2 linked regions of the Tribolium castaneum genome follow. Each later gene encodes a partner of the first gene's protein in a complex. Links are inferred from orthologs where the notes say so. Each region holds a gene or a part of one and is shown on either strand. Other genes may lie near its edges.

Evidence for each region.
Region 2: SmF (region 1) and wmd share a complex: the UniProt entries of both Homo sapiens proteins name them as parts of the SMN-Sm complex. The link is inferred for Tribolium castaneum from reciprocal best matches to the Homo sapiens genes SNRPF and STRAP.

The regions. Positions count from the first base shown.
Region 1 is NC_087398.1:3,705,225-3,710,105, forward strand, and holds SmF (small nuclear ribonucleoprotein F), read right to left. Parts: upstream 2,159-4,881; 5' UTR 2,043-2,158; coding exon 1,868-2,042; intron 1,816-1,867; coding exon 1,724-1,815; 3' UTR 1,627-1,723; downstream 1-1,626. Other genes in the region: calmodulin-like protein 4, read right to left, coding at 2,450-2,865, 2,914-2,944, 2,995-2,997; mitochondrial coenzyme A transporter SLC25A42, read left to right, coding at 3,450-3,598, 3,642-4,087, 4,612-4,792, 4,846-4,881. UniProt on the Homo sapiens protein: Plays a role in pre-mRNA splicing as a core component of the spliceosomal U1, U2, U4 and U5 small nuclear ribonucleoproteins (snRNPs), the building blocks of the spliceosome.
Region 2 is NC_087399.1:1,127,970-1,134,082, forward strand, and holds wmd (serine-threonine kinase receptor-associated protein), read right to left. Parts: upstream 3,374-6,113; 5' UTR 3,258-3,373; coding exon 3,143-3,257; intron 3,076-3,142; coding exon 2,785-3,075; intron 2,720-2,784; coding exon 2,595-2,719; intron 2,221-2,594; coding exon 1,768-2,220; 3' UTR 1,618-1,767; downstream 1-1,617. Other genes in the region: ENGase (cytosolic endo-beta-N-acetylglucosaminidase), read right to left, coding at 1-1,035, 1,084-1,093. UniProt on the Homo sapiens protein: The SMN complex catalyzes the assembly of small nuclear ribonucleoproteins (snRNPs), the building blocks of the spliceosome, and thereby plays an important role in the splicing of cellular pre-mRNAs.

The DNA.
Region 1 (4,881 bases):
CACGTAATACGCTGAATACGCTCAATCGTGCAGCGCCTAAAAATTTAATAACGAATAACGCATTTTGAGTTTTGAGCGTTTTTATTAAACAGAAGACGGTCGATGGTCGAGCATTGGTATCCTTCAAAAATACGCTGACACATCGGCCTACTCGTTTAAAAAACGGGTTTACTGTAAAATCAATTTTTTTTCCGTTATAGAAATTGTTCTTATAGTATATTAAGTATGGAGAACGGTAAGGGTTTGTTACTGTTCGACATGCTTATAACGTTTTTTGCACGATCGGAATCAGTATCAGTGTCAAAATTATAAATACATAATTTTTAAATAAAATGAACGTATTGAGATTACGAATTTAGACGGCTCTGTGTTACTATGGATTATTGCCAAACAAACAAAAATTGTGTTCTGCCAGTTGTCGATTAATTCGATAAAAAGTATTGATTGAAAGTGCAGCGGTGTTTTTTGATAAAGAATAATGAGCGATTCGGAAACAGAGAATTTGTTAGAAGAACCCTGGAATATTGGAATGATCGGCAATAATTCCGGAAAAAACAAAATTACGATATGAAAAATTCTTAAATGAAGCACCTGATGAAGAATTTTGATTAATAAGGTATAGTTATTCGCAAACTGCGATAAAAATACTACTGAACATTTTTAGCTCACTGTGATATTAAGAGTCTCAGGGACTTGTAGAAGAGAGGAATTATATAACATGACTATTATAATAATAGGAGTAATATACAACGGCCTCTGAGTTCTGTGACTAATGCAACTGATTCAGTTCTAATTGTGCGCAAACGAGTCGTATTACTATTAACAACTGTAGCAATTGTACTTTTCACTTTTAGTATGAATAAATAATTAATAAATTTTGAATTTTTATATTACTTTTACTTACCGTTCAGTGAACTTTTCTGACTCCTGTGAGTTCGCAGTAAAGCGATGGCAGTCCATTTATCGAACTCGCTGTATACAAAAAGTATGGATAAACTGTTAAATTTATTTGAAATTGAAATTATTTAAGCCAGCGTTGTAATTTTACTGAAAATATTGACCAATAATTTTAGTTTTATATATTTTTTAGGTATTGTGTTGCTATCCACAGTTTTTTTGGCTGATAAAAGGGTTTTTGAATTTTTTCGCTTCGGCCCAAAAAATATTTTTAGTATTTGACTCTTCATTTGATGACACTTAATTTTTTTTTAATTTTTCTTGTGACCAATGTGTGCCAAAGTTATCAAATTAAATTAAATTGATGCTTTTTAAAATATAAAGTATGTTTTGGCTCCCTCTCGGGTAAATGCAAAAGCAGGTGTATGAGAGGTAACTGTAAGTGCAGGGGAACTTTCTTCAGTTGTGCTGCTATCTGTTCGTTTTGCCGTTAACTACAAGGATTTAATTTACATTTTTGGTACTTAATTATCATTTCCTTATTCCATTATAATTATTTATAGAACACTGTATGTATCCCCCACTTTATAGCGTCCTTTAATGTTAAACAAATAAATATATTTTTGTATTTTTTTTCAAAAGCAAGTTCTCTTGTTTATAATCCGTAACAGTTTGTGTATTTTTTTTGTGGTAGACAATCGTAACGTTACATGTAGAAAAAAAAACAAGTACTTTAACACGATTTATTTGGTAAAAAATTAAATCTACAATACTTATTTACGTAAGTATCCGATCGTACATTTAAACTTGAATTTACATTAAATAATTAATCCTTCGTCTCTCCCTCCTCGTCCTCTTCTTCAGCCCCTCTTATGAACAAGACATTGTTACATCTAATTAAAACTTCCCCTAAGTTACCTGTAAAAAAATGTTACACAAGGGGGTCCGCCTCCAAAGCATAGTTACATACCAGTCATATTCCCATCAATAAATTCCTCTGTGTTTGCTAATTGTAAATTCATGTAACCATCAACTGAGACAAGGTAACCTTTATATTCGTGCCCCCACTTCAATTTTACCATCACAGCCTTGCCTGTTAGGCCGTTGAGGAAAGGTTTGGGGTTTATGGGCATTGCGGTCGACATGGTTGTTGTTTTTGTGTGCAAAAAATCGCAAATAAACTAAAAACGTTGACACAACGCTAACCAGCAAAAGTGAGGTTGGAATCGAGCGACAATTGTGTCAATTGTCAAAATTTCCATCCACCATCGACGTATAAAAAGTTGATGGGTGTCTGATTTTTTAGGGCGCATATTGTTTTTTTGTGATTCTTGGACTAAAATTACCGTAATTAAAAAAAACAAGGATTGTGGTCAATTAATGATTTATTGGCGTTAGAATAAATAACTGTGCGGGGGTTGATTGCCGGCTCTCTATTTTACCAAACCGAAAAATCATTGCCAACCCCCCAGTGCGAAAATCCGAAAATAAAAATTTGTGACATGTGTTTTACATAATTTCGTGGAAAAGACTGTGTTAGGGTAAGCCCCCTCTAGTAATAATCCGGCACTGGTGCACAGGCAATCTTAACAAAATCCTCGTACCGCACCATACTGTTGTTATTAACATTTGCCTCTCTGAAAATCCGATCAATTTCCTTGGCCGAAAGACACTCGCCCCAGTTTTGCAACATGTGACGCAGCTGCTTGGCCGGAATCACCCCTTTCCCCTCCGGGTCCCCAGCCTTGAAGGCGTCCACCACCTCCTTGGGCACGTTCTCCACCCGTGAGTGAATATGCATAACCTCCAAGAAGTCAGCAAAGCTCATTTTGCCGTTCTTTTGCTTGAAATAACCCGCAAGCTCTGAGATGGTGGGCGACAGCCCCAGACTCCTCATTATCACTGTGAGTTCGTCCAGGGACTTGATGTGCCCCGAGCGCGCAAACAAGTAGAAACACTCGCGAAATTCTACAAGATTTACGAGTTAGTTTGGGGGGCTATCACGGGGGTACCTACCGTCAATGTCTTGCTCCTTGAAGTAGCGGGCCTGAAACAAGCTTGATTAGGTTTGGGGTGGGTTTAGCGGGTTATTTTTACCATTTTTCTTGTAAATATTTACACGTCAATTGTATTATTATTATCAAGGTGAAACAGGTGAAAGTACAGTTAGCGTCACGAAATTTGGCACAGACTCGTCATTAATGAATTATTTATTTTTATCTCTGATAAAATGATGATTTTATCGCCCAATTGTGCCAGGTAATTGTTTGGGGCCCCGATTAGTGGGAGCCCTTAATCAGGGTTGTAAACCCCCCGAACGAATCGATTTATCGCCTCATTTCTAACGTAATTTATTAATAAATAAAGTTATATAACAAAACAGCTCGTCATTTGCGATAGTCTTATCACTCCACGCTTAGATGTTGTTAAATCCCCGTCCAATTAAAAAAAGGTAACACACTTTGAACTTTGCCTCCTTTCCTCCGACTCTCCTCTAATTCTTCATTCCCGTTCCAGTTGACCCAATAATGCCTTGATTAGTCTTCCAAAAAATGGCTCGTAAAAGCCATGACCCTGTTTCGAGTCAGCTGAGCAACACTCAGATCGTCCTCACTAGTCTGTGTGCGGGCGCCATAGCGGGGGCCCTCGCCAAGACCACGATAGCCCCCTTGGACCGCACAAAAATCAACTTCCAGATCAGGTAAGCCCCCACGTTTGGTACCCCTCTAACTGGCTTCCTGCAGCAACAAACCCTATTCAACTCGCAAGGCGTTCAAGTTTCTGCGACAAACGTACCACCAGCACGGGTTTCTGGCCCTATGGAGGGGCAACAGTGCCACCATGGTGCGCATTGTGCCCCATGCCGCCATCCAGTTTACCGCACACGAACAGTGGAAGAAAATTCTCAATGTGGACAATACAAACAAGTCCCCCAGGAAATTGTTCCTGGCGGGGAGTCTCGCGGGGGCCACTTCGCAATCTCTCACCTACCCACTTGATGTGGCGAGGGCTCGAATGGCTGTCACGAATAAGCAGGAATACGCGACTTTGAGACAAGTTTTTTATAAGATTTTTTACGAAGAGGGAATCACAGCGTTCTATAAGGGGTACATACCCACCATTGCGGGGGTCGTGCCCTATGCAGGGGTCTCGTTTTTTACTTATGATACCTTGAAAATGCTCTATAGAGGTAAGTAAGGGCAATAATTAGTCAAAATAGACGTTTTAATTTGCAATAAATCGCATAAAGCTGAAAATTACTGCAGGTTTTAGGTGCACTATTATTATTTCAAATAAAATAAATATAAAAAATCTCCGCCAATCCTACGTCTGCTAAAAAAAATATTCGTTGTCAAAAGATGTTTTTTTATTTATTTTTTCATCTGTTAAAAATTAATTTTAAGTAAGGAATTAATTTTTGAAAAATTATTTTTAAAATCTGATGTCTGATATCAGTGATATCTCAGAAATGGTGATTCGTACAAAAAGCTATAAGAACAATTTTTATAGATAATTGCATGATCTATTTTCGTCTGACCTATTTTTACGATAACACTTACCGTTTACGAGAAAAATAAAAAACGATATCCGGTGGGGATTTTTTATATTATTCATTTGCAGTGGGGTACCTAAGACCTGTACTAATTATATATTTTTTATGAGATTTGTGTCTATTTTGACCGGACTATAGTTTTTTTTTGTATTTTTTTCCAGAATATACGAATTTAGATTGTGATGCTCGTTTAAATCCTGTCATTAGTCTCGGTTTTGGGGCTATCGCAGGAATGTTGGGTCAGTGTAGTAGCTATCCGTTAGATATTGTAAGAAGACGAATGCAGACTGATACTCAAGGAAAATATAATTCAATTAGAGCAACTCTTAAAATAATTTATAAGTAATAGTAATTTCGCCCAATCGCCACCATAACTACGTGACTTATGCTTTTAGGGAAGGAATAATCGGGGGTTTTTACAAAGGTTTGTC
Region 2 (6,113 bases), on another chromosome or scaffold:
GACTGTTCCAAAAAGCCGAGTCTCGATTAATAAAATCCTCGAAGAATTTTTGCCGATTTTCACTTTTGGGCAGCGTTTCGTGCGTCCAGCCTGGCGCGAAAATCGCCATTGATAAGTTGTGTCTCCTTATCATCTGGGCGGCCTTGAAACAGTTGAATTGACCGCCTCCGAAGGTATTGCGACCGAAGACATCCACCCCCACGTAAACGTCCAAAGTCCGATGCTTTGCAAATTCAATCGAATTGTGGATATTTTCCTCAGTCCATACGTAATTGAGGAAAATACCGTCACAATTATCGAAGAAAAATTTATTAAGGGGGTTGAGCTCATTTTGCCATTTCAATTCGCCCGTTTCAATGATACTGTCGTACCAGATGATTAAATGGTCGGGGTTTTGGGTGTGCGTTTGCACCCCTAAGTAGGCAACGAATTTTTTCAACATTTCGGTGTCTTGGAGCGAGTTTTCGATGTTGAGGAGCCACCCGTCGAATTGGAAAATTTTCAAAATTTGGGTCAAAGAAGTTGCGAAAATTCGCATCGTGTCCTCGTCTTTGAAAATCTTCTCGCAAATTTTTTTCCCCGGCTCGAATTCTGTTATCAAAGTTCCAAGAATTTTCACGCCGTTTTGATGCGCGGCATTTATCCAACACAAAGGTGGGATTGTGATTAGGTGGTGACTGAAGTAAACGAAAATATCGATGTGTTGCCAATTATAAAACGAGTACAAATTCCCGATGTTGCTACTTGACAAAAACCTGTCTTCCAAATAGCCACCTTTGTAGTCATGGCACACTAAAGTTTTGGGAACAAATCTCTTATCGAGACGCGTTCGTGGACCGAATTTTTTCGCATCGCAATGACAATCCGAAATTATGTTTTGCACTACTGTGGGGCTGCGCTCGGTCAAGGGCGCGACTCGGCTCACCCACTGGGGCGGGTTTTCGATCACTTCGGAGATGTTGTCCAATGATGTGATTGGAAAACACTCGAATTGGTTTAGTTTGAGTTTTTTCATGGCAGGGGGGCCGTCACTTTCTACAAAGAGATTTGAGACAACTGGAGGCGAAAAATGAGTCTTGTTACCAGTACTCATTATCGGTAATTGTAGGACGGCGGGAAACGGAAGCTGATAATGCGGGAAAAATTATTTCCGCATCCGGGGCCCCTGAAATAGCATCATAACCCAATTCTTATTTTTTTTTTTTTGAATGACATAACCTCACTTTTTATCTTATTGTGATTACGCAGTTTTTATCGTACCATAGCGGTAATAAATTGGAGCTTGTAATTTATAAAGGTTTTTTTGCCTCTTACCGTTTTTAATTATGTGGAAAATGGGGGAAAAACAAGAGGTATAACCTCACTTTTTTTGTGGATTTTTTTTTCACATTTCTTTATTATTTATTAGCCAAGATCACTGAATGTAGCAATCGGGCCATTTCACTTCGTACTTATCAGTTTTATCACCTAGTGTTTTCCCATTGATCGACTGATTAAGGCCAGAACCTAACCTCGCTTTTTGCGATTCTTTGGTGCTTTTTCCTTGATTTGGGTCAACCGGTTTGTTTACAAATAACCCGCTTTCAATGTCAGGAATTTGGGACAAAAACTCGCCAATTTTCGTGATTATTTATTAAATATTCAAACAAATAGTAACATAAATAAATCAGTTTTCCGTCGCTTTTTCGTCTTCTGTTCACCTAATCGTGAAAGAACTACGAGTTACTTGGATTTGAGGAAGGAGGAGAAAACAAATTCGTCAAACAGCTAAATCGCGGGTACTTCTTTGGGTGACGTAATCGCGTCGTTGTTGATTTGGGGCCCGTCAACGCATTTCCAAAGTCCATAAGTCTTGCCAATTGTGGTTTGCCAAAGTCTTAAAGTGCCGTCTTCTGACCCGGAAGCGTACAATTCACCGTCGGGCGAGAATTTGACACAATGGACGGGGCCAAAGTGGCCCTTGAACGATTCGATTTCATTTCCAGTTGTGTAATCGAATTTGTAGACTTTCAAATCATCGCCACCGGCGACGAAAATCGTTTTGTCGGGGTGTAGCGAAGCCGAATTGACTGTCGTAGGAACGGAAAATTCTCTAATTTTGTTTAGAGATTCGGAGTCGAGGAATGTGACGTGATTTGAGTGGGTTACTGTGAGCACGGTGCCGTCTCTGGACACCTCAAGGCTGTTCGGAATCGACGGGAAGTCCATTTTCTGGACTTCCTGCAAAAAACTGTCTAGTATAATTATGATCAAGAGCGAAAGTTTTTAGACGGCCGGTCGTAGTAGGGCGACATCTTGCGGAATTTAATTTGTCAAAGTGACATTTACATTGTCAAAGTTGACAATTTTGCAAATTTGTTTTTTTATTTTTATAACGGCAATAACCTAGTAAATATTTGGAAACATGTATCATTTATCCCTTTCGAATGAAAAATCGTCTGATTAAAGCGGAAATTACATAATTTTGTTTTTTTTTCAAACGTTTTTTCTAAGTGTTTGAATTTGAAGTAGATTTAACTCGAATCTGGTCAATATTTTTTAAAGTAGCGACCGTCCGTCTAGAACAAAATTGACGTGGTTCGAGATTTGGTTACCTTTCCGGAACTCCGGTCCCAAACCCTCAAAGTCTTATCGTCCGCACACGAGACAAGATGCGTGTCATTCCTGAAAAAGATCACGTGTCTTATCCCGGAAGTGTGCCCCGTAAACTCCTCGGGTTCTGAAACAATAAATCAAATCGTTCCGATCAGAAAAGGAGCCAAGGCGAATGCGAGGCCACCTTACTCGCTTCGGGTTTATTCAGATCGAAAATTCGGACAATTTTTTCGTTGCTCCCCGTCGCCAATAAGGCACTGTCTTTGGAAAAGTTGACGCTTTTGACGATGTGTTTATGCTGGAAGGAGTGCAGTTCCTCGCCGGAGTTGGCGTCCCAGACCTTGCCGGTGAAGTCGGCGGCGCCGCTGGCGGCCTTGGTGGCGTCCTTGTTGAGCGCGACGCCCCAAACCGCCCCCTTGTGGCCCTCGAAGGTGCCGATCCAGTCGCCGGTGTCCCCTTGCCTTAGCATGGGTTTGCCGTCTGAAAGCGGCCTCGTACGGTGAATCCAGGCCAAGGTAAATGTCGCCGAAGGTAAAGTTTAACTTACCTTTGCATGCCGAAATTAGGAAATAGCCGTATTTTGTCACCGAACTGAAGTCGAGATGGACGACGGGACGAGTGTGGCCGCTACAGGTTAAGGGGGTTTGACGAAGATTTGCCATAGTTTTCTATTTTATTAGGTCAAACGGTACAAAAAAATTATACTAAAAACCTACACACCACACTAACACGAGGAGTTCAGAAAGCGAACTGAATTTGACAGCGTCAACAACAGCTGGGAAAGTGGCAATAAGGGACGCATGCGCGGGTGTATAATTGGTTACCTACCAATCACAAAAAAATTCATAACTCGGAAACTAAAAGTCGTAGAGCAATGCGGTTTGTTCCATTGAATTCAGCGGTTCATTTTCTGTATTATACCAACTTTTCATGAGATTTAAAATTTTCAATTTTTTTGCTCAAATTTCCTGAGTTATATTATAATACACTACTTACCTTCAAAGAGATGAAAAAAAAATTTTTTTAAACTGACTTCAGCAAATTTTTATGGACTTCTACATGTCTTAACAACCCACTAAAGTTGTTAAAGGTCCACAAAAAGTCCATATGTTCAATTTTTTGATGTTTGATTTTTTCAATTATCGTTGCAGTTTTTGTCGGTTTTGGGTACCCGGAACATTTCTCGAGCAATAGCTCCGGAACTATTAGAGATAACCCCATGAAGTGTATTATCGTTGGAAAGCTCTTTAAATTATCTTTTTTTTTCAAAAAAGATTATTCTTCTCCGACTAATAGTTTTCGAGAAAATTGCTGTTAAATGCAAAAATTGGTAAAATTTTAAAAAATTCATAACTAAAAAACTATTGGGAATTTGGCAATTTTCTCGATGCCAATTGATTCCCCGGATCATTTTGCATAGGTGTGGATCAAAACAGTTCCACTTTTTACAATAGTGTTTAGCCGTAAATGAGAAAATAAAAAAATTAAAAAAAAAGTTAACACCCCCCCCCAAAATCGGCCAATTTTTAAAGTGTCTCAAAATCAAAGGAAACCCATTCTGTCTTATAGATTTTGATGTGCTCTTTACGATCGAACAAACCGTTTTCTTCTAGCTCTTTTAGTTTGGCCGTAATCGGCGTTTGAAAATTGAAAAATTATTTGCGAGATATCGCCTTAAGTCCTATGCCATTTTGTAGAGTTTTTTATTCCGGTTATCCTCCATTTTTCCGTTTCTCGATATCTTTAATAGTTTCGCCGTAATTGACGATTGAAAATTGAAAAAAAGTGAAAACGGAAACCTTTTTTTGCGTTTTTCTCGGAAACTGTAAGACTTAGAGCAACGAACAAAAAACCATCTGATAGCGCTTAATTTTGTCTATTTTTTCGACCAAACCCGGAGCCGCTCCGGGCAACGGTTCCGGCTACAGAGGCGATCAAAGTTTTTCACTAAAAAAATTCATAAAAAAAAATTAAAAGTCGTAGAGCATTGCGGTTTATTCGATTGAATTCTACGGCTCATTTTACATATTATATCGATTTTTCACAAGAATTAAAAATTTAAAAATTTTTGCCTAAATTTAGGATAGCCATTTGTCATAGTGAAAAATTTTATTCATTAAAAAAATTCATAACTCGAAAACTAAAAGTCGTAGAGCAGTGCGGTTTGTTCTATTGGATTCAGCGGCTTTTTTTCTTTATTATACTAATTTTTCACGCAATTTAAAATTTTCATTTTTTTTGCTCAAATTTCCTGAGTAAAACACTACTTACCTTCAAAGAGATGAAAAAAAAATTTTTTAAACTCACTCCAGCAAATTTTTATGGACTTCTATATGTCTTAACAACCCACTAAAGTTGTTAAAAGTCTACAAAAAGTCCATATGTTCAATTTTGTGATGTTTGATTTTTTCAATTTTCGTCGCAGTTTTTGTCGGTTTTGGGTACCCGGAACATTTCTCGAGCAATAGCTTCAGAACTATTAGAGATAACGCCATGAAGTGTATTATCGTTGGAAAGCTCTTTGAATTATCAATTTTTTTCGAAAAAGACTATTTTTCTCCGACTAATAGTTTTCGAGAAAATTGCAGATAAATGCAAAAATTGGTAAAATTTTAAAAAATTCATAACTAAAAAACTGTTGGGAATTTGGCAATTTTCTCGATGCCAATCGATTCCCAGGATCATTTTGCCTGGGTAAGGATCATAATAGTTCCACTTTTTCAAATAGTATTGCCGTAATTTATTTTACTTTTAATTTGAAAAATGGTGGAGGCGCCGAGTTATTTTTCAAAAATTCATAACCCAAAAACTAAAAGTCGTAGAGCAATGCGGTTTGTTCCATTGGATTCAGCGGCTCATTTTCTGTATTATACCAACTTTTTACGAGATCTAACATTTTAAAATTTTTTGCTAAAAATTAAGATAATCATTTCCTATAGTGGAAAATTTTATTCAACAAAAAAATTCATAATTCAAAAACTAAAAGTCGTAGAGCAATGCGGTTTGTTCCATTGGATTCAGCGGTTCATTTTCTGTATTATACCAACTTTTAACGATATTTAAAATTTTCAATTTTTTTTGTTTAAAATTTTGATATTCAAGGCTTTTGCCTTCATAAAAATGAAAAAAAAAAAACATAAAATCTAAAATCGCCATCGCAAATATGTAGTTAGGAAATCATCAAGTAGTTTCCTTGGGGGAAAGTGTACGACTCTGGAATAAGAAAGAGCAAAAAAAGGAAGCGGTTATTACATACTCAAAAGCAAAAGCTTGATGGGGGAGCTAAACGGATTACATAAAACCGGAAACGCTATAGGGGAACTACAAATAAAGATTTACAGCCGAGTCACAATTCAGAGGATAAAATCCTTTCATATAATAATCGCTGTATGAATAAGTTATGGTGGGAAAAAGAAATCTTAAATAAAACAAAATACCGTCTCGTTTTATGTTCTTTATTACATAGTTGATAGATAAAAAATTACAGTATATTTGATCAATGTTCACACCGCGACACA